Oryctolagus cuniculus: one gene and its partners. The protein of the gene in region 7 purifies or fractionates together with the protein of the main gene of each other region. This does not show direct contact. Links are inferred from orthologs where the notes say so. Each region holds a gene or a part of one and is shown on either strand. Other genes may lie near its edges.

Evidence for each region.
Region 1: the proteins of CUL4B (region 7) and GLMN purify together in Homo sapiens (affinity purification with mass spectrometry; 3 studies listed by BioGRID and IntAct, counting the BioPlex papers as one, with this or other methods). This does not show direct contact. The link is inferred for Oryctolagus cuniculus from reciprocal best matches to the Homo sapiens genes CUL4B and GLMN.
Region 2: the proteins of CUL4B (region 7) and TRPC4AP purify together in Homo sapiens (affinity purification with mass spectrometry; 4 studies listed by BioGRID and IntAct, counting the BioPlex papers as one, with this or other methods). This does not show direct contact. The link is inferred for Oryctolagus cuniculus from reciprocal best matches to the Homo sapiens genes CUL4B and TRPC4AP.
Region 3: the proteins of CUL4B (region 7) and GRWD1 purify together in Homo sapiens (co-immunoprecipitation; 4 studies listed by BioGRID and IntAct, with this or other methods). This does not show direct contact. The link is inferred for Oryctolagus cuniculus from reciprocal best matches to the Homo sapiens genes CUL4B and GRWD1.
Region 4: the proteins of CUL4B (region 7) and DCAF10 purify together in Homo sapiens (affinity purification with mass spectrometry; 4 studies listed by BioGRID and IntAct, with this or other methods). This does not show direct contact. The link is inferred for Oryctolagus cuniculus from reciprocal best matches to the Homo sapiens genes CUL4B and DCAF10.
Region 5: the proteins of CUL4B (region 7) and COPS7B purify together in Homo sapiens (affinity purification with mass spectrometry; 6 studies listed by BioGRID and IntAct, counting the BioPlex papers as one, with this or other methods). This does not show direct contact. The link is inferred for Oryctolagus cuniculus from reciprocal best matches to the Homo sapiens genes CUL4B and COPS7B.
Region 6: the proteins of CUL4B (region 7) and DCAF8 purify together in Homo sapiens (affinity purification with western blotting; 7 studies listed by BioGRID and IntAct, counting the BioPlex papers as one, with this or other methods). This does not show direct contact. The link is inferred for Oryctolagus cuniculus from reciprocal best matches to the Homo sapiens genes CUL4B and DCAF8.

Annotation. Positions count from the first base shown.
Region 1 is NC_091438.1:78,327,673-78,331,780, reverse strand, and holds the start of GLMN (glomulin), read right to left. Parts: upstream 2,801-4,108; 5' UTR 2,664-2,800; exon of another isoform or gene 2,409-2,663; intron 2,208-2,408; exon of another isoform or gene 2,071-2,207; intron 1,895-2,070; 5' UTR 1,858-1,894; coding exon 1,819-1,857; intron 1,538-1,818; coding exon 1,412-1,537; intron 1-1,411. Other genes in the region: putative RNA polymerase II subunit B1 CTD phosphatase RPAP2, read left to right, coding at 2,853-2,925, 3,583-3,628.
Region 2 is NC_091442.1:23,131,543-23,135,042, reverse strand, and holds part of TRPC4AP (short transient receptor potential channel 4-associated protein), read right to left. Parts: intron 2,189-3,500; coding exon 2,105-2,188; intron 1,279-2,104; coding exon 1,188-1,278; intron 247-1,187; coding exon 106-246; intron 1-105. UniProt on the Homo sapiens protein: Substrate-recognition component of a DCX (DDB1-CUL4-X-box) E3 ubiquitin-protein ligase complex required for cell cycle control.
Region 3 is NC_091449.1:8,607,584-8,609,692, forward strand, and holds the end of GRWD1 (glutamate-rich WD repeat-containing protein 1), read right to left. Parts: coding exon 1,988-2,109; intron 1,184-1,987; coding exon 866-1,183; 3' UTR 501-865; downstream 1-500. UniProt on the Homo sapiens protein: Histone binding-protein that regulates chromatin dynamics and minichromosome maintenance (MCM) loading at replication origins, possibly by promoting chromatin openness.
Region 4 is NC_091432.1:200,636,598-200,640,867, reverse strand, and holds the start of DCAF10 (DDB1- and CUL4-associated factor 10), read right to left. Parts: upstream 2,801-4,270; coding exon 2,262-2,800; intron 1-2,261. UniProt on the Homo sapiens protein: May function as a substrate receptor for CUL4-DDB1 E3 ubiquitin-protein ligase complex.
Region 5 is NC_091434.1:7,526,579-7,530,078, reverse strand, and holds part of COPS7B (COP9 signalosome complex subunit 7b), read left to right. Parts: intron 1-1,187; coding exon 1,188-1,293; intron 1,294-3,500. UniProt on the Homo sapiens protein: Component of the COP9 signalosome complex (CSN), a complex involved in various cellular and developmental processes.
Region 6 is NC_091438.1:38,706,758-38,710,257, reverse strand, and holds part of DCAF8 (DDB1- and CUL4-associated factor 8), read right to left. Parts: intron 3,410-3,500; coding exon of another isoform or gene 3,347-3,409; exon of another isoform or gene 3,240-3,346; intron 1,074-3,239; coding exon 954-1,073; intron 538-953; coding exon 421-537; intron 1-420. UniProt on the Homo sapiens protein: May function as a substrate receptor for CUL4-DDB1 E3 ubiquitin-protein ligase complex.
Region 7 is NC_091453.1:98,262,894-98,266,393, forward strand, and holds part of CUL4B (cullin-4B), read right to left. Parts: coding exon 3,470-3,500; intron 3,030-3,469; coding exon 2,938-3,029; intron 1,165-2,937; coding exon 1,057-1,164; intron 232-1,056; coding exon 118-231; intron 1-117.

The DNA of each region.
Region 1 (4,108 bases), on a different chromosome or scaffold from region 7:
GTAAACATAAATTACTTAGGATAGCATGTGGCACACAGTAAAAAGTACTGTTATTTAATTTCTTTTCTTTTTTTTTTTTTTTTTTTGACAGGCAGAGTGGACAGTGAGAGAGAGACAGAGAGAGAAAGGTCTTCCTTTGCCGTTGGATCACCCTCCAATGGCCGCCGCTGCAGCCGGCGCACCGCGCTGATCCGATGGCAGGATCCAGGTGCTTTTCCTGGTCTCCCATGGGGTGCAGGGCCCAAGCACCTGGGCCATCCTCCACTGCACTCCCTGGCCATAGCAGAGAGCTGGCCTGGAAGAGGGGCAACCGGGACAGAATCCGGCGCCCCAACCGGGACTAGAACCCGGTGTGCCGGCGCCGCAAGGTGGAGGATTAGCCTATTGAGCCACGGCGCCGGCTTCTGTTATTTAATTTCGTTATTTGATAAAAGCTACATATACTCAAGATTATCCTCTGAGAATGTTAATTGGTAAAAAAAATCAAGAGTTTTGAAAAAACATGAAATTTCCTTTATTTTTGCTAGAAAGTTTTAGACACATATCAAAAACAAAATAAAAAATTAAAAAGGGATAAGTCATTTAAGTTATACAACAATTTGCAATCAAAGTCTTAGGAATCTCCCAAATCCAATCAATGTGCCCTGGACAGAATCACAGACCAGCATTGGTAGATTGTGATATCAACAAAGACAACTTCCATATAAATAAATAGCACTTAAAATGAAGAAAGACCATATTCCTAGAAAGAACACAATGTTCCCTAGAGTCAAGAAGGGGAGTCCAAAGACAGAAAATCTGGCAGTGTGTTCCCAACACTGTGTCCCAGGAAGAAACTGTTCCTGATCCACAAACAAGATCCTTTCCCAATGTGGAGAATGATGTCTTAGACCATTTCAGTGGGAAAATATTGGCCAGTAAGGTCAGTAAGGTCACTCAGCTTTCTCTTCTTGTAACATTATACACAAAAATATTTTGTGTAATATATTGCTTAATTAAAATTTGGCTTTCCATAACCACTCCGGCTGGAGAAAGGGCTGCTCCTTAAAAATGAGCCTGTTACTTCTACTTCTCAATGTAAATTAACAGTTAAAATGCCACAGCTGCCTCCCTAAACCAGAAGTAATAGTGCTCCTTGTAAAGCCTTCACTTAGACTTCCCAGCATTTCTTTCATTTATTCTGCTTCCTTACTGCTAGTTGCCTCCATGTTTCTCTCTTGCACCAGACTCTATCTACCTTAAGGTACAGAAACATTCCTAGTTTCTTTTTTGTCTTCCACAGTTTCCTACTGTGGAAGTTTAAGTTGATTCTTAAATGTGTGATACATAAAGGAAGGGATGAATAATGGCATCATGTGATTATTCTCTTCCCAAATAAAGACTAAAAAGTAAACACAAAGATAGAACTTACCTTATTCTTTTCATTTTGAATAATTTCTAAGAGCTGGGTTATATGCCCTTCTTCTAGGCATCTTTGGCCTGCTATCTGAAATAGGCCAAAATCTTCTTCTTTAAAGTCTTGCTCTTCTAGTATTTGCTGGTAAAAACAAAACAAAAAACTAAGTACTTTAATGATCTCAAAATCCACTGTACCAAAGAAACCGAGGGAAAAGGATCAGTATTAACAGTGAAAAGGTTATTTAGATCAGTATGTTACCTGGAGAAATAATCCAATGTGCCTTCCTGCCCTCATTCTATTTATAGATCAAAAGGAGCAGGGATTAAAGAAGATAAACACAAAACTATTTAAAAATAATCTATACCCTTAGGTGTTTTGAAAGGTATTTAACTTTACAAAAAGACAAAAAAATCACTTACACATCTTTTTATTATGGATTGAAGTTCCTCTACAGCCATTTCTCCTTATATATCCTAGTTCTGTCGCTGAAATGTACTAAGAAAAACAGTTAACTGTGTAATATCCCACTGATGTATTCATGCATACATAACTTATGATGAACATTAGTAAACAATAAAGAAAATGCAAAGTTTTGTAGTCGAAATGTTACTACTAATTATAGTAAGAAATCAACGATTTTTTAAGACTCTTGCATTTTTTTTCTTATTCACCTTTTAAATCTTCCAGGAGCATAGTTTTCAGATACCTTAAATAACAAAAACAAAAACCCAAGGAGCACTCCCAAAAAGCGAGGCAAATACAAAAGTATTTCCAAAAGGCGGACTTGAAATAAAAATTTTGTTCGGCAATTGTTTACTTTTTAATACAAAGTTGACCAAAAAAGGGGGGAGGGTGCAATACAACTAAACCACCCAGAGAGGGTGAAGGCTCAGATGCCCTCCATCCCATGTCTGAGAGCTGCAGTCCCCAAAGTCATCAATCCGGCGAAACCGCCCCGCCGAGCCCCGGCAAGCGCTCAGGAGCAGGGCACCGCTCCGCCCCCGCTCACCGTCGCTGGCCCCGCGCCTCCAGGCCCGCAGAGCCGGCGCAGGTCAGCAGGGTCTTCAGGCAGCGCGCTCACAGGCCGGTAACACCCTCGCACGCGTGCGGGCGGCATCCAGAGGAGGCCATTTCTCCGGCTCGCCCAGACGTTCCGGCCCCACCACCCAGCGGGGGCCTCCAAGGCCCGCGGCACCCAGTCCTCCGCCGCTCACCAGCAGCCGCGAGCCCCTGCCGCCCCACGGCTCTCGGCGCGTCCACCTACCGGCCAGACCTCGCGCCTTCTCTACCCACTCCACCACCTCGTCTTCGGGCCGCGCAGGTCGCTCTCCCGGCCCCGCCCCCGGCCCCGCCCCGCCGCGGCAGGCCCGCCCCGCGCTGTGCGTAGGGGGCGGGGCCTCGCGGGGGCGGGAGTCGCCGGAGGAGGTTCCTGGCTTTCTCAAGGCTGACTCCCATGGCTGACTGGCTGGAGTCGTGTTCTCCCGGCCGGAAGGCCCGGGCTCCTCGCGCCTCCCGAAACGCCAAAGGTAGGAACAGGGCCCTCTTCCCCCGTTTGGAGCCCCGGGACAGGATCCCGACGGAATTCTGGCCGGAGGCGCGTGGGTGCTCTCGAAAGACTGCCCTAGGGGAGGGTTGTCTGGTGCAGAGGAGGCCTAGAGCTTTGCACCGCAGTCCTTGCGCGTTTTGGGAAAGATCTCCCCGTTGGAGCTGAACCCTTGATACGGGGGTTGTGTGAAGGAAAGGGCAGTGGGGGTTCTGGGAGCCCAGAGCTGGGGTCCCCAGGGTGGGCGAGTGACCAGGGCGAGGTTGGCAGCGTATACAATCTGCCTTAAACCTTGGACCTGTCCTCGGAGGTGTTGGACTCGCCTCTCTCCTCCTGGGAGTGAACGGTTGGGGGATTGTGAGAAAGTACTCCGATCTCGGATTTTTAGGAGTGCTTGATTAAGCAGCTGTGACACGTGAGCCCATTCAGTCACCAAAAGAGATAACGTTGTAACTAAGAAAAATGAGGGAGTAGTTAATTTACAAAGAAATTGGTTTCCCTTCCAGTTGCGTTTTGATTTACACATATAATTGGAAATGAAAAAGAGAAGGTGGGCTACAGTTTGTTATTTGGGTAGGAGTCTGCTGCATCTGATATGTTGGTGTAGAGTTGACCTATATATATAGTTCTTAAATTGTAGGCACTAAACAGACAAGAGCCTTGAAATCAGAAGATGCTTCTAAAAGGTAAGAGAACTGCTTGAACAACTGCATTCGCTTATCTGTGTGCCTTGAATTAATTAAACCAGTCTTTATTATTAAACCAGTATTAATTAAACCAGTCTTTATTATTAAACCAGTATTGTATTAATTAAACCAGTCTATTGGGAGACAATTATGATGCAAGGAAAGCACTGTAAGTTGTTACATCCCTCTCCTCCAGGCTTTAAGAGAACCAAACTAGAGGGTGGGCACTTGGTGCAACTGTTAAAATGCCACTTGGGGTGGTCTGTGTGCCATGTCAACATGCATGGGATCCAGTCCTGGCTCCATTTCCAATTCCAGCTTCCTTCTAATGCACACCTTGGGAGACTGCAGGTGATGACTCAAGTAGTTGGGACCCTGCAACCTACTTGGGAGTCCCAGATTGAGTTCCTGGCTCCTAGCTTTAGCAGGGCCAGCCCTGGCAGTTGCAAGCGTTTGGGGAGTAAACCAGTAAAAGGGAGA
Region 2 (3,500 bases), on a different chromosome or scaffold from region 7:
CCACAGAGTCCCCAGCACTTTCCAGTTTCCAGACTGGCAGACAAGGGCTCCAAGGTAACTTCTGGACAATGCAGCAACCCTCAGAGAGCCATGGCCTGACCTTACCTTTGCATCAGTGTTGATGTACTTATTGAATCTCTTGAATGCATCAACATTAAACTTCATCAGCTCCCCCAGGAGATCGAAGTAGCTCTGGAGCACATCCCTTGATTTGCACTCGCTGTCCACAATGCAGTACAGAATATGCTGGGCACGACAAGGGGACAGGGTGACCAGGGTGGGACTTGGGTCGGCCCCAACTTGCCTCCTACAGGGACTGGCACAGAGATCACACCACACATCTGTTCTGAGCAAGCACCCGGTCCATGGAACCTCAGCCGCACGTAGATTCTTGGCCTAGGATGCCGGCGGCACCAAGCGCAGGTCAGGCTGACGCACCTGGCCAGGAGCGGTGGGCTGGGAGCGTGGCACACCTCCCTCTCGTGCTCAGGCTCAGCTGGGGCTGACCTGCTCTGTGCTCTGCAGATCTCACTTCTGGCATCAGCCACTGCCCTGGCACTGTGACCACCCAAGTAAAGGAAGGGCACCGGACACACTGTGACCCCGTGGTTGTGTGTTTATGAATGGAACCATTTAAAAACTCACACCAAAAGCAATGAGTTTTTTATCAAGAGCTAAGCCAATTTTTACCTCCTTGATGACGTGTTCCATGATAGTTAAATGGTTTCCAACATTTAACATTTCATGTTCTTGAAGCTACACTGATTTGGACTATTTTCTTTCCCATATGGATTTTACATAAATTCATGAGCCAGTTTCTTGTCCATATCTTTCTAAAACTATAATCTGGCCGTTTTTCTATCTTCCCTTTTTGTAAATGTTTTTCTGAAGGACATGAGTCAATAAAGCAAAATTATTTTCAGTCGGATCAAAATATCCTCAGGGTCAAAAGGCCTTGCTGGGCAACTCCAGACCCTTGTCCTCCTGCATGGTCACCCGAGTCCCTCCATCACTCTTCCAGCACCCAGGGGGAAGCCACAGTTGGAAGTCAGGGCAAACACTAGGGCAATCTGCATTAGCATTTACAGAGCAGAGCCCGAGTCTGCCCCCAGTGAGCCGTAAGGCTCAGGACAGCACAGCAGTGGGGCCGCGGGGAGAGGGGCCCGGCCGCTGCTTTCCAGCCGTACCTCCAGCAGGCCTCGCTTCAGCAGGAACATCTGGTCGGCGTAGGAGGTGGTCCCTCGCAGGAAACTCTCCACAGCACGGGCTTGCCAAAACCTGCAACCCAAACACAGCGCTGGCCTCGGAGCTAAGGCTGCCCTCTTCTGATTCATACTCAATGTCCCCAGGGTGGGGAGATGTCTGCCGTCTTAATCTACTCAGCATGAATAAATGAACAGCCCCCGGGCAGCAGGCCTCACCCCAGGTCTAGGGGACACAGCGGTGAGCAGCAGAACCCCCATCCCCCTGGAGCTGACAGAAGCACTGGGCTCTGGAAGGGGTCGCAGTGAGTCCCATGTGAGGACACGCTTTGCCCATCCAGAACAGGAAGATGTGAACTGAGGGGAAAGAGTGGAGGAAGCTGATGGGCTGCCTAGTGAGGAGGTGGCTGATGCTGACCACGTGACCCAGAGGTCAGAGCTGGGATCCATGTCGGGGAGTGTGGGCATGGCAGGCCACGGCAACAAGGGCCCCATGGAACACAGCCTACCGAGTGCTCACACTGGCCCTGCTGGGAACCCTCCTGTCCACAGCCTTAAGGCTCAGCACAGACCACTCTGGACTCTGAGGTGTCCCTGGCCAGCCCCCAGCAGGGGAAGGGGCTCTCCTCTGCTCCCCGAGCATCTGGCTCCACTTATGTCCACACCACATTCAGAGGTTTCTGCTCACACTCGTTCCCCATCCGCGCGGGGTACTCTGCCCAGCAGCCACACAGAGCAGGAGCCTGGTGAATGGGCAGGGTGGTGCCCACGTATCTGCGTCGACTAGGGCCGGAGGGCAATCGACGCTGACCACTGTGCGGGGGTGGATGCTGGTGACTGACCATGTGAGACACGTGCTCCCCTCACTGCGGAAGGGTCAGGTACCCGTCCCTCAGACCCACCTGAAGGATGACTCAGCAGGCTCCTTCTTCATGACCTGCAGCAGTCGAGTTAATAAGCCCCTCTTGCCATCACACACCAAACTCCTAAGACAAACAAAGACGACGAGGGCATCGGTGGCAGACCTGAGGCTGCCAGGGGCCTTGGGGCTGCGTCACTCCGCTAGGTTAGCTAGGTGAAAACACACAGGGACGTCTTCCGAGTCTGGAGGATGCCCTCCTGCTCCCCGAGCCCAGAGCACCCAGGGCTCCTGCGGCCATACACTGCACAGCCATGTGCACTCCCGCTGCGTCTCAGGACAGCTTCTCCTTCCTAGACATGGTACGAGGCCAGACACACATCCAGAGCCAGTCAGGGCCCAGAACCCCGCAGAGTGGGTCTACGCCAGTCTCCTGGGGAGGCTCACTTTGTGCCAACAGGGCGGGGCCCAGGGTACTCCTCGTTTCAGACTCAGTAGCAGCGGAGCCCTAGACAGGTACCAGTGCCTCCAGTCTCAGCTTCCAGACCAGTGAAGCAAAGACGGGAGATGAGGAAATGTCTCAGGCCTCACCACGGGAACAGACGGCCATGCAGGTGAGGGTGTGCCCTTCGAATCCTCTTCAGAGAGATCAGCTCTGCTCTGAACCGCTGCACACACTGGGACAGCACTGTGCACAATTTCACCTGAACGAGAGCTCTGCTGCCTTTAAAAAGAAAACGCTGGGGGCTGCCTGCAGGGCCAGCATCCCATATGGGCGCCGGTTCGAGTCCCGGCTGCCCCGCTTCTGATCCAGCTCTCTGCTATGGCCTGGGAAGGCAGTGGAGGATGGCCCAGGTCCTTGGGCCCCTCCACCCGCGTAGGAGACCCGGAAGAGGCTCCTGGCTTCTGGACTCGGATTGGCACAGCTCCAGCCACTGCAGCCAACTGGGGAGTGAACCAGTGGATGGAATACCTCACTCTCTCTCTGCCTCTCCTTCTCTCTCTGTGTAACTGACTTTCAAATAAATACATAAATCTTAAAAAAAAAAAAAAAAAAAAGCAAAGGCTGGAGTATGCTGGCTCCTGCTGCTGGCACCTGTTCCCCTGCCTGAGCCCCAGGAGCCGTCGCCGGGCTGCCCCGCATCACCACACAGAGGCCCGTTGGCAGAGCCTGCTTGTTCGCCCTGTGGGGCTGAAGCTGCCACAGGGCAACAGAGGAGTACACAGCGGCACTGTCAGACACACGTGACGGGGGCAGGGACGGAGCACGCATGGCCTTCGGCAGGGGGGCCCCTCGGAGCCCCTGCTGTCATCTGTAAAATGGTGGTGGTAATGTCCCGCCTAGGGCCGCCGTGAGGCTGAGGAGAAAATGCAGGTGGCGGAGCACAGCGCCAGGCACAGGGGCCTCGGGCACTGCAGCTCCAAGTGAGTGCGAAAGG
Region 3 (2,109 bases), on a different chromosome or scaffold from region 7:
CCCCATGCCCTGGGGGGGCTCTGCTGCTCAGGCTGGGGGAGGCCTCTGGGGGCCCGGGGGCTGCGGTCTGTCCTCGGCCCCAGGGGCCTGTGCCGGGCGCCCGCGACCTCTGAGTCCACAGGCGGATCAGAGGCCTGGATGGAGGGGGCAGGGGGTGTGGCCAGCAGCGCCGCAGAGGGGGAGCCAGGGAGGACGGCCAGGCAGGCAGCTGGGCGGCAGCCCAGCAGGCTGGAGAGGCACAGGTGGGGGCAGGGAGGCACGGAAGGCCAGGGACGCTGATCAGGAAGAGAGGAGGAGCTGGGGACATCGCTGAGGGGTCCCCTGGAACGAAGCCTAAGTGGGGGCATGGGACGAGACCCTCTGACTGCTGAGTCCCAGATGGAACACAACAGAGCGTGGCCCCTGCCGCGTGGGGGCTGGAGCACACACAGCGGGGACCCCCTGGGGACAGCTGGGGACCGACTTCCTGCCTCGCCAGGCGGTCGGAGCCTCACACGCCCTCCGGGCCTGTCTGGTCCTTTATTGCATCTCGGGAGCCCCTGCCCTGCGGCTCAGAGAGGGGAGGGCCCCACGCAGCCCCCTGCTGGGAAATCCTGGCCAAACCCAGCGGCCGGAAGACAAGGGTGGGACCAGAGTCCGCTGGAGGAGCCCACAGCTCGGGTTTGGTCCGGCCTTTGTCAGGCCCCTGAGGTCCCTGGGGAAGACCAGGTGCCAAAGCCCAGGGCTCACAGGCCACGCCGGGCCCGCCAGGCCCCGCCAGGTGCGGGTGTGGGCCAGCGTCCATCTCAGCCCTTTTCTCGGAGGGGCAGCCGACAGGCGGCACGAGCGGCTCCTGAGCAGGGCACGGCAGAGGCCGCGGCCCGCCTCAGACGCTGATGGTGCGGAAGATGGTGAAGCCGGACAGGGCGGTGCTGACCACGACCCCGGGGCACTGCGGGTGCCAGTGCAGCTCCTTCAGGTCGGTCTCGCCCTGGTGCACGAACAGCAGCTGCTGGGGGAGGTCCGCCAGCCCGGGCTCGGCCTCCGCCTCCCTGGCCTCGGGGTCCCGCTCCACGGCCAGGTCCCACTGCGTGATCTGGTTGTCGGCGCCGGAGGCAGCAAAGACCCCGCTGTCCTGGGGGTGCCACTCGACAGAGGTCACGGGGGCCACATGCTGCTTGAAGGTGGCCACCGGGGAGCCAGACTGCGGGCAAGGATGGAGTCAGGGGCTCAGACGGCTCAGCCTCGGGGTTCAGCGGGACCCCGCACCTCACCACCCACAATCTGTGATGAGGCCTGGAGGAAGCCCCCCCTCTCCTCCCTGGGTGCGTGCCGGCTCCCTCGTCTAGACAATGTTCCCCCAGGGCTCTCCCCTGACTTTGTGAAGGCCCCACTTTGGGAGCTCCAGAGGCAGCCAACCGGGACAGGGGTCCCAGGTGCTGCTGGGACCTGAAGGAGGACTGGCTGCAGAGGGCCACCGTCATCACCTCCAGGAGCCAGCCCAGGCTGAGTCCACAGAAGCGGCTAAGCTGCAGGGAAACAGATGACCCGGCCGCCCCGGAAGAGCTCGGGCTCCGGGAAGCTATGGCTCCGTGCACAGGGACCCCACAGGCTGCAGCTGCTCCTGCCAGAGCCTCTTTCTGCTCTACAGGTCAGCGCTTCGCCGGGCTGTCACGTCGCACCTGCTCCTGTCCTCGCTGTGCCGCGCCTCCTCCCCTGCAGCGAGTGAGCTGGGTTCCCACTCTCAGTCCACCACAGGACCAATCTAGAGTTCCCAGGGGCCCTGAGTCGTGGGCCGCACAGCGGCTGCACCTCTGCCCCATGGGCAGATGGGAGCTGCAGTCTCGTGGTCTCTCATCCCTCGTCAGAGACCTCACAGCCACCAGGACCCTTCCTCTGCCCGAGCGTCAGCCTCCCCACCCACCCCAGGAGGGGCTGGCCCCGCGCCGGCCGGCCGCCCGAGCACGGAGGGGGAACCCGCAGGCCCAGCGGCTGCTCCGGGAGGTACCTTGAACTGCCGCAGGTCCCAGACCTTGAGCGCCCCGTCGTCCCCGCCGCTGAGCAGGAAGGGCTCCCGGCGGCTCCAGCTGATGACGTTCACGTCCCCGTCGTGGGCAGCGGCTGTGGTGA
Region 4 (4,270 bases), on a different chromosome or scaffold from region 7:
TTCTGATCCAGCTCTCTGCTATGGCCTGGGAAGGTAGAAGATGGCCCAAGTCCTTGGGCCCCTGCACTCGTGTGGGAGACCAAGAAGAAGCTCCTGGTTCCTGGCTTCAGATCGGCTTAGCTCTGGCCATTGCGGCCATTTGGGGAGTGAACCAGCAGATGGAAGACCTCTCTCTCCCTCTACCTCTCTGTAAGTTTTTCAAATAAATAAATAAATCTTTAAAAATATATTAACAAATAGCTCATAAAAACTATGAGAAAAAAAGGCTACAAAACAAGATGATTCTATGTACGTTAAAATAAACACAAAAAGTGTCTGGAATTTATTCAGTCTCTAGGATTATAAGTGGCATTTAGCTACTTAAAACAAGATGATTCTATGTACGTTAAAATAAACACAAAAAGTGTCTGCAATTTATTCAGTCTCTAGGATTATAAGTGGCACTAAGCTACTTTTTGTTCTGTTGTTGCCTAAATTTTCCACAATAAACATATATTGTATAATTTTAAATTATTGAATTTTTTCATTTTAAGTACCAGAATACCTGCAATTTGAATTCCTTCTTCATAACTCATTGCTTCTCCTATCCTCAGCCTAAAATCTCACCTCCAAAGAACAGAAGCAGTTACCTTCTCCTGTCCTGGAAGTACAGGCATAGGATGGGAGGAGAGGGGACAGGACACGGAGAGGAAAGGGAACGAATAAGGGGGAGATTCCTGGTGTTTTAGGAGACCTTGAATAAGAGGTTGGTTAGAGGAAGGAAGAGAGAAGGTTCCATGCACAAGCTTCAACGGAATTACCTTTCTCTTCCCACCAACTGTCTGCCTTAATCAGTACGCGTCCGCTCCTATGCTGTGCACCCAACCCCAAGAAAGAGAAGTGCCAGGGAACCTCGCACAGGATGTGACTAGGCCGCATCTGCGTTAGCGAAATGGCGCTAAGACCAGCCTGCTTACAACAATTTCTGACTCTGTTCCTTGGCTATTTTAGGTGTTTCTCTACAATTTTTGCTTCATAACCCTAGCCTTTCTCAGCTTCTCTAACTTGACACTGCCTCTCCCCTACCACGGGTCCTCAGCTACACCAGTCTCTAGCTGAAATACTTTTATCCCCTCTCCAACCCTATCTGAACGCACTTCTCTCCTAGGGGTTCAAGTGTCACTTTCTCAGGGAAGCCTCAAGCACCACAGTCCACAAGAGGTTGCCTCCAGCTTTTATCTCTGCTTGTAAACATACATTATGTGTTATTTTCTAAGATTATCTGATAGGTCCCAAAGTCGATGACAGCAGTGCCATTAGCTGGTTTTGCTCACCACTGTTACCCCTGCATCTGGAACAAAGCAGCGCTCAACAGGTATTTGTTGAATAAAGGAATGAACGAGCAACCAAGCGAATAACTAGCAAACCAGAGGCCTTGATAGGCTAAGAATTATAATTATGCCTCCTGTATACACATTTGCTCCTTTGGCCGCTTTCACATTTCTTCACAGGACAGAGTTGTTTTGTTTGTTTGTTTGAAGATTTCTTTCTTTCCTTGAAAGGCACAACAACAGAAAGGGGTCGGGGGAACGGGGAAAAGGAGAGATACAGCGCTTCCACAGCTGGTTCACTCCCCAGTGGCAGCAACCCAGCCCCAAGTGAAGCCAGGAGACCAGAACGCAACCCGATCTCTGACGTCGCGGGCAGGGGCCCAAGCACTCGGGTCCATCTCTGCTGGCTTCCCAAGGCGCATTAGCAGGGAGCTGGCTGGGAAGCGGAAATGCCGGACTGGTGCTCGGATATGGGACGCCGGCGTTGTAAACAGCAGCCTAACCCGCGGTTTTAAATACACAGAGAAGGCTCCTGTTATTTGGAAAATACCCCACAGCCAAAAGCACACCAGGGCCACGCATAAAATATTTCATCAGCCAAGAAAAAGGCCGGACAGCCTTAACAGAAGCCTGTCGTCCGGCCAGGGGACTTCACAAGGCTTCCCGGCAGTGTCTTGGCTTCCTGCTGGAGCCAAGGAACTCATCACACTCGCGCCCCCACGGCCAGCCCCGGCACCAGGTGCAGGGAATCTGCAGGCTCCACACCCTGGACACGAGCGAGCTTCAGCGAGAAAGCGAAGCCCAGGAGCACAGGGACAGTAGGCGCACGCATTGGAAACGTCTGCCCCGACACCGCCTGGCCTAGCTCCCGCACACCTGCCGGGCGCCCCTCCCCCAGCGTTCCCCTCCCCAGGCCTCCAGGTGGGCAAGCCTGCGAGAGGCCGCGCTTACCCGTCGGGCGAGTACTCGAGGTTGAAGACGGCACCGTGCGTGCGAGTGCTGAGGTACACCGAGTCCGCCGGGTGGATGGAACCGTAGAGGTTCGTCATGGTGCGGAAATTGTCCCGCGCCGGGTCCACGAACAGCCCGCGGCCCAGGCTGCGCTCTCTCAGCCACCCGAACAGTCTGGCGCCGGGGCCGCCCAGGCCGGCGCAGAGGCCGTGCCAGCCCCGGCTCCCGGCCTTGCAGTCCGGCCCGGAGCGCCGGCGCGGAGAGGAGGGCGGTGACGGCTCTCCCTCGGCGGAGGCGGCTGAGGACTCCAGCGCTCCGGCCGGCCCGAGCTCGCCAGCGCGCGCCGCCGGGGACAGCAAGGGGGCGCCGGGCCGGCGGGGGCTCCGGGCGGGCGGCGGGGGCGAGCCTGAGTCAGCCCCGGGCTGCGGCGGCGCGGGCGGGGGAGGAGAGGGCGGCCCGCCGGCTGCCGCTTGCCTTCCGTGGGGCGTCAGCTCCTCCGCCTGGTCCCCTTCGGGGCTACGGGGCCCGAAGGGAAACATGACCAACGCCCCCCGTCCCCGGCTCCCGGCCGCAGTCCCGCCTGCCGACACCTCAGCGCTCCCTCTCCTGCCGCTACTTCCGGGTGCGGCGGCCTAATTCCGCCGACTAGGAAACCCGCCCCGCCCAGCCGCGCCCCGCCGCGCCCAGCCGGCTGCCGTGCGCCGGGGACCGGGAAAGCAGAGGCACCGCCGCGGCCCTGAGAACCGAAGCCGGGTTGCCAGCTGTACGTTGGAGCGGGCGACCGATGCTGAAAGGCGGTCTGTAGTTGCCAGAGCCTGGTGGCTGCATGCCTGGGGACGAGGAGGCCACCGGGCAGGCCAGAGGCTGGGCAGGATTACGGACTGGCGTCTCCTCTACTGGGGGCAGCGAGGGCGGGTGGGGAATAATCGCATTATGTGCAGGTCACCCAGGGTAAGCGGCGTGGCGCACAGCCTGCTCAGCCCGGGAGTCTAAGGACTCCGGTTAATAATTTTTGCACTGAAAAGCCCTGCGGGGGCCGGCGCTGTGCTGCAGCGGGTTAACACCCTGGCCTGAATCGCCGGCATCCCAAATGGGCGCCGGTTCTAATCCCGGCTGCTCCACTTCCGATCCAGCTCTCTGCTATGTCCTGGGAAAGCAGTAGAAGATGGCTCAAGCCCTTGGGCCCCTGCACCCGCGTGGGAGACCCGGAAGAAGCTCCTGGCTTCCGATCGCCGCAGCTCTGGCCATGGCGGCCAATTGGGGAGTGAACCATCAGAGGGGAGACCCCTTGCTCTCCCCCTCTGCCTCTCCTCTCTCTGTGTAACTCTTTCAAATAAAAATAAATAAATATATTTTTTTAAAAAAAGCCCTGCTCTGCACAATACCTAGAATAAGGGGGCTACTAAGGTCCTGAATGTCTACCCAGCTCTAAGACTGACAGAGCCTTCCTCTCTACAGGAGCACAATCCAGCCAAGAGTAACTGAGGGGAGCTGCAGACCTCAATCAGATCAACCCCTTAAGCAACAAAACCAGGGTCAGTCCTGCTTCCGGATCTGCCAGGCGGGCATGGAGGCCATGACGGAGGGAGGCTCTTTACGGTTGCTGCTGAGCGCAAACACACAAAGAAGAGTTGGTTGCTGCTGAGCGCAAACACACAAAGAAGAGTTAAGGGGAAGGGGTGGGGGCGGTTTCTTTGGGAAAGGAAGTAGGCCTCAGGAGAGCAGACAGAACAAGCAGCTGTCGTAGGCCTTGGTCAAGAGCCGTGTGGCACAGAAGGCTCACCTGCAGGCTGAGGTGGATCCGGAGGAACACCAGTAGGGCCTCCCGCCAGGAAAGTTAGTAGTTCACGCTCCCCCGGCCATGAGCTGACTGAGGAGGGGACACGAGGCAGGCGTCCGGAGTTGCACCAAGGAAAGCATTCTTGGGATGCCCTCCACCCACGTTGCTCCCACAGAGCACAGGGGTAGAGATCTGTTTTATGACCAACAAATAATGTCCCTTACGTGCC
Region 5 (3,500 bases), on a different chromosome or scaffold from region 7:
CATCTGCTTGTTTACTCCTCAGATGGCTGCAGCAGCTAGAGCTGTGCTGACCTGATGCCAGGAGCTTCTTCCGGGTCTCCCACGTGGGTGCAAGGTCCCAAGTACTTGGGCCATCTTCTACTGCTTTCCCAGGCCATAACAGAGAGCTGGATCAGAAGTGGAGCAGCCAGGACTCGAACCAGTGCCCATGTAGGATGCCAGCACTGTAGGTGGCGGCTTTACCCACTACACTGCAGTGCTGGCCCCAGCTTTCTTGTTTCATTTATTTGAAAGGCAGAGTTACAACAAGAGGGAGAGACAGATTTTCCATGTGCTTGTTCACATGGCTGCAATGGCCAGGAGCTGGAACTCCGTCTGAGTCTGCCACGTGGGTGGCAGGGGTCCAGTTACTTGGACTGTCTTCCACTGCTCTCCCAGGCACGTTACTTGGGAGCTGGATTAAAAACGGAGCAGGTGGGTTTTATATGGGATAGAGCATCCGGAACCCATATGGGGTGCTGGCCACAACCCCAGCCCCTCAGTTTTTATTTCTGTTTTAAATTTTTCAAAATAAAAGTTGGGAGAATAACAAGCAGAGACATGACCATTAGAAAGTAACTTAAGCTTCTGAGGAAAGGGGCACTGCAGAACGGATGGGGACTTCAAAAACTTCACTGGAAAATGGAATTGAAAGATAATTTTTTTGGTGTAAAAAAATCTGAAATCCATGCATATGAGAAATCGTCAGAAATTCATGGAAATTCATGTTAGAAAAACACTACTCATGGATCAGAAATTTTTTTGCACTAAAATAATATCTTTTAATTTCATTTTCCATGAACTTTTTGAAGTACATGCAAAGGATGCTTTTAGAAAGTTTTTTTTTTTTTTCTGTTGAGGAAAGTAACTCATCAGTGCCACCTGTGAAGTATCTCCTCCTTCCTTCCTTTACATCCTGTAAACCATTTCGTGTGGGTGCAGAGGTTGAAAATCAAACCGATGTTCTAGGAAGCTCCCTCCAGATCGCTGTCTGTCTCCTTACGTCCTCCGCAGTGTGTTTAGATATGCTTGTCTTTAGAAGGGACTGCAGGAGGGCTGAGAGCCTTGGCTCAGGGCGTGTTGGAAGAAGTCCCTACAGGGTGCTGGGAGGCCACTGGGAGGGAGGTCTCTGGGCCCTCCGCAGCTAAGGCTGGCGTTCTGCTCGGCAGGTGTGACGGCTGTGAAGCGGTTCTGCTCGGCATCGAGCAGCAGGTCCTGAGAGCCAACCAGTACAAAGAGAACCACAACCGGACTCAGCAGCAGGTGGAAGCAGAGGTAAGGGGGCGGAGTGTTTGAGCCTCTCTCCAGGAGTACCTGGCTTCCTTTTTTTTTTGGTGTTTTTGTTTTTTATGTGAGTGTTGGTGTAGGTTAAAGAAGCAGTTAACCAACAAGCAGGCACTGGGCCTGGTGCTGGGACACAGGGATGAGTGGGATATAGTTCCCGCCCTGAGCACTGTCAGCCTCCCTTCTGATTCCTGATTGGCAGAGGATGAGCAGGCCGGCCGAGCAGAGGAGGTTGGAGTTTCACAGAATACCTGCACTTTGCAACTGTAGCACCAAAAAAAAAAAAAAAAACAAAAAACGAGTCTGGGGGATGGATCTTAAAAATGGACAAAAGAGGGGCTGTGGTTGTGGTATAGTGAGTAAAAGCCACCGCCTGTGGCACTGGCATCCCATGTGGGCACTAGTTCAAGTCCCGGCTGTTCCACTTCTGATCTGGAGGACTTATTTATTTTCATTTGAAAGTTACCCAGAAAGAGGAAGAGACAGAGGGAGAGAGATCTTCTATCCGCTGGTTCACTCCCTAAATGGCCACAATGGCTGAGGTTGGGCCAGGCCAAAGCCAGGGGTCAGGAGCTTCCTCTAGAAATCCCAGGTGGGTGCAGCAGCCCAAGCAGTCCGGCCATCCTCTGCTGCTTTCCTAGGCACAATAGCAGGGAGCTGGATTGAAAGTGGAGTGGCCGGCTCTCGAATCTGCACCCATATGGGATGCCAGCTTTGCAGGTGGTGGCTTTACCCACTACACCACAATGTCGGCCCCTCAAATAAATAAGTAAATTTTTAAAAAATGGACAAAAGGAAGGTTGGCATTTGGTGAAGTGGTTGCTGGGACACCTGCATCTCATCAATGAGTGCTTGAGTTTGAGTCCTGGCTCAGCTTCTGACTCGGGCTTCCTGGGAAGCAGTGAGTGATGGCTCAAATACTTGCTTCGTGCTACCCGTGTGAGTGGTATGGATTGAGTTCCTGGCCGCTGGCTTCAGCCTGACTCAGCCCCACCTGGTGCAGGCATTTGGGGAACAAACTGTGGAATGGAAAATCTCTCTGTCTCTCTGCCTTTCAAATAAATAAAAACAAAAACAAATATATTTTTTAAGATAGGAAGATGGTGGGTACCAGGTACAGTGGAGGGAGGGGTGCAGGTAAGCAGGGGTATGTGGGCTTCAAGGCCTTGGTAGGGTTCTGATTTTTTTTTTTTTTTTTAAGATTTATTTATTTATTTGAAAGGCAGAGTTAGAGAGGGAGAGACAGAGAGATATCCATCTGCTGGTTCACTCCCTATGTGACTGGGCCAGTCCACAGCTAGGAACCAGGAGCTTCTTCCAGGTCTCCCACTTGGGCCATCCTCCACTGCTTTCCCAGGTGCATTAGGAGGGAGTTGGATGGCAAGTGGAGCAACTGAGGACACAAGCCAGCACCCACATGGGATGCCAGTGTTGCAGTTGCTGGCTTCACCTGCTACACCACAATGCTGGCCCCAGGGTCCTGATTCTTAAGTGGTGAGGCAAGTGTATAGCCTTCTCTCTGCCCTAAAGAAGGAGAGTTTGTAATGTATGGGTATGTATTATGAACTTTAAAAAATCATGAATAAAAGCAAAAACATTGGGTAGTTGAGACTCAGTGAAGGTACGCAGGTGGGAATGGTTTTAGTGACATCTGGGTGTTCAGGACATTTTTTTAGCCTCTTGGATGTGTGCAGACTTCAGCCTTTATGTACTGGGTGCTTGTTTGTGCGCCTGTAGCCTGACAAGTGCAGTGCCCTCAGAATTTGTTTGGAACCCTTACCATCAGAAGCTTTGATCATTATCAGTAGTGGAAATCCTTTTCTAATGTGGATGGGCTGTACGTGTTAATGGTGTTTCATGAGCTTTTACAAATCAGTTGTCCGAGAGTGTGGCAAAGAGAGGCCTAGAATTGCAGCTAAGGAGCATAAGAAGTGAGTGTGAGACTTGGAGAGTTCCCCTGCCCCTTGGAAATGCAACCTGTGTCTTACTTGTCTTTGTAAATCCAGCTCCTTGTCCCACGCCTCAGCCATGCGCAGTACGCACTCAGATGCTGCACTGAATATTCCCGGTACACCAAAGAGGGTGTCAGCGGCCTGCCGGACTGGGTTCTTCATGGACTCAAGCGCATTTATTTTGAATCCACCCCCCCCCCCCATATATATGCTCTGTGGGTGTTTGGTCTATAGTGCATTTTTGTT
Region 6 (3,500 bases), on a different chromosome or scaffold from region 7:
CCACAGGTATACATACAATGAGTGTGGCTACATTCCAATAAAATTTTATTTACAAAACCAGCAGGCCAACCACCAACATGTTGACCACTGCCCAAGGCCTCTTCTGGCATGGTATGAAAAAAAGAAGGGTCACTCTGAAATTTATTTCTTCTCAACTCCCCTCCCACCCTCCTGACTTTGCCTTTATGCATACAGCACTATGCATGTATGGCAATGAAGAATATGAGCAGACTCCACCCCTTTCCGCTGTGGCTCCTTGAAGGCTCTATTAGGGATCTGATGGGGATAGGGACAATGGATAGGGAACCTAACTAAGACCACCTGATTCCTCCTTTAAGTGGTGAGGAGGTGTGTACTGGCACTTTTTAGGTCTCTTGAGAAGGCAACTGCCTTAGGAGCTCACTTCCAACCCCGGCTTACCCGGTGATGACGTCTCTGTCTCAGGTGATGCATGAGGAACCAGAGCATGTGGCTATCGAACAAGTCAGTGTGGTGCAAGCTATCTTCATCCCGCTCTCGCTTGTTCTTCTTAATCACCTAGACCCAAATGGGTTAGGGGAAGGAACCAACAATGAACAGGAACCCTGGACTTGATTAAGGAAGCTGATGGTCTATTCCTTTAAAAGTTTCCCTGAGGTGTCATTAAGCTGAGCTTGAGCTAGATTAGATTAGGAAAGGATGCCCTCAGTTCAGCTACTGAGGTAAAGCCTTAAAATTGAGTAATTCTTCCAGAAGAGGTTCCCTACCCCCATTCCTACTGCCAACCAGAGGCACTGCAGAGCTGCCCCCTGGAGCAGGAGCATTCTTACAGATGCAATGACAGGAATGTAGGGGAGGATGTTAGAGCAATGCCTTTAAACAACTGGGAGCCGAGCTATTCCTTCCCATGACCATGAAGAGTAACCGTATGTGGGTAAGCAGGAAGAAAAGAGCATTTGTAATCCACCACTTACATCCTTTAACCCTGTCAGCTCAGTGGAGGCTTCAGCGGTGGGTGCCCAGATCTTCACATCATGATCTAGGCCACTGGTAGCCAGCACAGGAAGGTGAGGGTGGGGCTCAAGACAGTTTACCTAGTCAGAAGAAAAGAAAAGAAAAGAAAAGAAAAAAAAAAAGGGTCAGGGGTAGGGGAATAGAGCTTTACAATCACTACTCACCTTGAGTCAAACAATTGCCCTTGATCAGGGCTGAGGCAGCTGCTGTAAAGGCAGGCCCGCTTGTCCTAAGCCTGGGCCAAATGGCCCTGTGGACAGAGGAAATACTGCACACAGACTGAATAGATTAGGCCCTTCTATCATTTCCTATGTATAGGTTAGGATGGCTTTATCCCCAGACACAGGCCTAGATATAGGTGAGTGACTGGCCAAAGCTTACTGCTAGCTTCACAAGAAGGCAATGAAGTTCAGATGACCTCACTATCTCCAGATTCCAAAGCTCCAACTAGCCCAACGCTGGAAAAAAAAACCCATCTCAGTGGCTTTCACTGAGTGGCAAATACATTTTTAAAAATGAAGAAAGCAGCAGTTGCCACTGAGCCCCCAGAACAGTCAGACAACAATTACATTCACTTGGCACTGTTTACTAGAACTGCAGGAAGGCACAGGTTGGTAAGAGGAGGCTGAGCTTGTGGGTTAAGGCATTGATGAAGGCTCATGTTTGCTTGAAAAACCTGCATGTCCCAGAGGACAGCATTTTGCGACCTGCTCTCAAAGCACAATATATATCTCAGCTATAGGGCAGCACAATATACCAAGGGGGCTTCCTGGGCACCCTCACAGCATCAGTTTCAGCTATCTTCTGATTACATTCCCTCAATAGGAGAAAGAACTATCGCAGGCAGGCCTTCTGGCTTAAGCAACTTCCTCACGTCTGAAAGCACATATGCCCCCTGCTGTCTGACTTGGAAACATGAGCTTCTCCAATAGGGCAGGGCAATTCCTATCCCACGGGAAGATCTAGTCCCAGCCTAGCTGCTAAAGTATTTTCGGCTTTTAGCCAGATGAGGAAGATAGGAAAGGCACTCTGCCTTACAGCTGCCCTGCAGTTCAAGAAAACAGCCCCTGACAAGAAGCTTCCTTTGGTTCTCTCTGAACCAACCTCCTCTGCAAGGGGGCAGGCATGAAAAATAAAGCTGACCTACAGACCTGTAAACTTCTTTAATTTTTATTTTACAAATGAACAAACAAAGGTCAGCAAAGACTGAATCTAAGTCTGAGCCCAAGAATAAAGTTGAAATCCCATTCTTTTACTTCTTCCCCCAATTCCTATTTCAGCTCATTGCAAAGCTCATTGCATTTGGGCTTTTTAGGCAGTGCTTTTGGAGCGTGATTAGGCAGTAGAAAGAAACTCCATTGCCTGAAAATATTATCAAAAGATACATGAAAACATACACAAAAAACCCTGAACATACTAATCCATCTCCTGATAAGCCCTTGCTATAGACCTGTACTCTGAGCTAGCTCTGTGTGAACAAGTTAGCAAAATAAAGTACAGGGGAACAATTCCTTAGGATTTAAGACTAAGGACAAAGCCAATGGCAAGAGGAGCAAGAGAATAAATTACATACAGTACCTGAGTTGGAGCCTGCAGGGGAAGCCGACAGAGAACTTCCGGGCCAGGGTACCTGGTCACTTCACCAGACCTGTCTGAATGCCAGGACTTATCCTGTCAATATGCCTGAGCAGAGAAAAGAGCTCTGGCCTTAGATGACTGGGGCTGGAGGAATATAGGGAATGGGACGACGTATCAAAGTGCTCTTGGGAGAATAAGGAGTTGTCCTTTGACGTCATCCCCCACCCTTGTCCCTGTGAAGCTGAATGGGAACAAAGGACAGACCCCACAGTAAGAGTCAGGAGACCTGGGCAAGGTGGACATAACTGCTGAGATTCCTTCTGGTTCTAACACTCTATGATATAGAACCGCTGCATAGGCTACACTGAAGCTGGTGCCTGGGGACCTCCAGCGCTGGAAGATTAGGACAAAAACAACAGGGAGCCAGATGAGCACCACATGGATCTTTCAGCTCACACAGCGGCAAGAACAAGTAAGAAAAATCACTTATCTCTTGTTCTAGTCTCTCATTCATAGGACCACTAAAACTCAGGCCTGGGACCCACCCATCCCAAGTAGATGCCCTCCCCACCCTGAGCACCTGGATTAATCATCAAACCCTGGTATTGGCTGAGCTGAAAGCAAACTGGCCTGCAGAGTGCTTTTGAAGAACGGACAAGTGCTGGCCTGGGAGAGGGCATTCAGCCCTGCATCTCTCTGGAACAGAATGCAAGACAATAGTTTATGATCAAGAAAGGATTCACTGGCCCCTTTTGACTTCCTTCTGATTACCTGCCTATTGCAGAATTCTCATTAAGACTCCAGTGTTTTGGGTCTGTTCACTGCAGATGGACTCTTCCTATAGAAGAGTAGGAAATGAAGCAAAGAGTGACACACACGTTGAATTTCTAGATTCCTTTCATTCTGTATTCAGGCCACAGAAGCTCTGA
Region 7 (3,500 bases):
ATTTAGCTGTCTAGAATACATTTATTAGACAGCAGCTTAAACCATCCAGTTAAGAGCGATGACTTTAATATTAAAGACGAAGAAGAGGAAAACTAAGTTCTGGGAACACCCACTTACCTCTTTAAACTCTGCTTTTAGCACACAGTGTCCTAGGGTTGACTGCCACTGAAGTTTCCTGCCACTGTGTTTACCTAGGTAAAATGTCTTAAAAATCTCCTGAAGCTTTACCATCTAAAATAAATAAAATAAGGCTTTATTTAAACTCCACATCCAGTACCACATTCACCACTCTTTATACCTACCTCATGTGTAATAACTTCTGGAAATCTCAAAGACTATACTCTTACTACGTAATATTACTATTACCACTTATTTCATATGGATCAACATCTCTCTATACCATTTAATCATCCCTTCTTTAGAAACACTACACCATGCACTATACTGGTTCCTTTACCTCACTGCTGCTGCTTGGTTTTCTTCACAGGTTCCTCTTCCTACCACCAGCTGAATGTGAGCCTTTTCCAAAGTTCTGCCTCTGCCACGTTTTCCACATTCTCCCCCATACTGAGAGAAATCTACTTCCTGGACTTCCATGATCATCTCCAAAGAGAATTTTCATTATCTTTTTCTCTAGCATTTACCTCTTTTCTAGGCTTAAGTCCTGAGCAAGATATTTTCCCAGGAGTTTGGATGCAATCAGTAAGCACTCATCATTTAACAATCCTGCCAACAGATGAAATATGGGCAAAAATATTTGCTAGCTAGGCGGAATGAGGGATATAATCTGCAGAGATGTAAGAGTTGGGGAAACTGGCTCTGAACACAGAAACTTGGCATCATTAGCTGTGTGCTAAACTGGACCTGGGAATATAAATATAAGAGTAAAATATTACATGAAACACATGAAACTTGTATAACAAATAAAATTTTAAAGAGTAAAATACTAAAACAGCTGAAATTTGGTATTACTACCTTCACTGAAATTAGCTTGATACAAGGATTTGAATTATGATTTCTATGCCTGTAACTGAGGTCCTAAATAGTAACTCTTACCTCTGGTGGTAAATGGACTTCCATAGGTACATACGTTGGCCAATAACCCATTGTCAGGATATTCACAGTTAATTCAATATTTCCAGGTACATTCTGGTTCTGCATATACTATAAGAAGATCAACACGTACACTGAGATCTTAAATGTATGTACATTTCATGTCCTACTACCGATCCATTTATGAGAAGTTCCCCACTATAAAATTATAAGGATACTGACCATCTTTAAAATAAAAGTCAATTATTAAGAGGACTTTAGATAAACCCTTCAAGCCTTCACAAAATGTACTACATAAAGACATCGGGCACCATTTTGATGCAATGGCATACAAGGATCACGTGACTTCATGATAAGCATTATCAGCTTAAATACTTTCTCGCATACAGCTGGGTTATTATAGTATCTCTTCTCCATTATTTTCCCCAGTACCACCTGCATTCCCCACTTTTGCAGGGAACTTGGAGCACCAGAACCAAACCCTACTCTTCCTCACCCCACCAGCCAGCCCAAGTCTCCAGTTTTTCATTTGCTCCAGTGCCTGCTTTGCAAGGGGTAACCTAAAATGGGGGGAGGAAGAACAGGGAGAAAGGGCAAAGCAAATAAATACTGTCTGTATCTACTACTGCATGATCCATGATCCTACTGACCATGATCTTTCTCTTTGAGTCTTTCATTGGTAAAGAAGTTACTACTAAAACCCCATAAGAGGGAAATCTAATTTGCTATCAACTATCACCTATGTTCTTAAAATATTTCAAACTACTTTGTACCTGCATCTTCAGAACTGTAGATTTAGCTTTTCATTCCCAATTTCCCCCAAAGCCTCTGTACAATCACTTCATCACCTATCTGTCCTCTCCACTGTGAGCTCTGAACACGCAAAACCAAAAGGTATTTACATTTTATTTCTACTTTTGTTATTTTTGCATGTTTATTAAGAATAAACCCTTGGGGGGCCAGCACTGTAGTGTAGTAGGTTAAGCCTCCACCTGTGGTGCCAGCATCCCACATGGGCACCAGTTCAAGTCAAGCTGTTCCACTTCTGATCCAGCTCCCTGCTAATGGCCTGGGAAAGCAATGGAACATGGCCTAAGTGCTTGGGCCCCTGCACACATGTGGGAGACCCAGGTACATTCTGGTTCTGCATATACTATAAGAAGATCAACACGTACACTGAGATGTATTAGGTTAAACCATCTGCAGTAACAGCATGCCATGTGGGTGCTGGTTCGAATCCTGGCTGCTCACTTCTGATCCAGCTCCCTGATAAAGCAGCAGATGGCGGCCCAAGACCCGGCTGTCGTGACTACTCTGGGGAGTGAATCAACAGATGGGAGATCACTCTCTTTCTCCCTAATTCTTTCAAATAAATAAATAATTTTAAAGAGTTATTTTATTTATTTGAAAGACAGAGTTACAGAGAGAGGTAGAGACAGAGAGAGAGGTTTTCCATCCGCTGGTTCACTCCCCAGATGGCCGCAATGGCTGGAGCTGCGGCAATCTGAAGCCAGGAGCCAGGAGTTTCCTCTGGGTCTCCCATGTGTACGCAGGGACCCAAGGACTTGGGCCATCTTCTACTGCTTTCCCAGGCCATAGAAGAGAGCTGGATGGGAAGAGGAGCAGCCCATATGGGATGCTGGCACTTCACGCCAGGGCTTTAACCTGCTGTGCCACAGTGCTGGCCCCAAATAAATTTTTAAAAAAGAATAAACTCTAAACTAGGTCAAATATATTTCACTGGTCATTTTTTTAACTGTTGCATCTAAGTTGTTATGACATATTTACAACAAATATGTTCTATTTTTCCCTTCAATATAAATCACCTCAAGGACACAACTAAATATATTTAAGTTCAAAGAATTAAGTAAGAGTTTAACTCACTTTTACCTGTTTGAACTGAATCATGATGTCTTTAGAAAGCTCCATGTCTTTAAACATCCCTTCAAGCTTGCTGGTGAAAGCAGCTCCACATTCTATAAGATATTTGTATATTTATAATATTTTAAAGGGGTAACAACAAAGAACTTAAAACAGGAAGCATGAAATGTAAAATTTACTTTAGCGTGAAATATGATCCATAACTGTTCATAAGAATAAAAAGAAATCCTTAACCCAAAGTGTATGCACCCTAATTCAGAGTCAAACCCTTTAATCCTTATCTTATCTAAATTTAGGTATAAGATAAATAGGAAATTTTTATACAAATAATGAAAATAAGAAGAATGCTTTATTTTAAATAACCAAACAGCTCTAGATACGTGTAATAGGTTAGAAACCTCATGGGCTTGCACAATTTATGTTTTCATCACATATACATAGAGTGACTGACAAAAGAGGTAATCAACTGAAAGAATAAAAATTAAACTAACATTTTCCCTCAGAAATCAAAAGAAACAAAGAATGGCAAACATACCATGTTTGAGTTTGGACAACATTGATTTTTC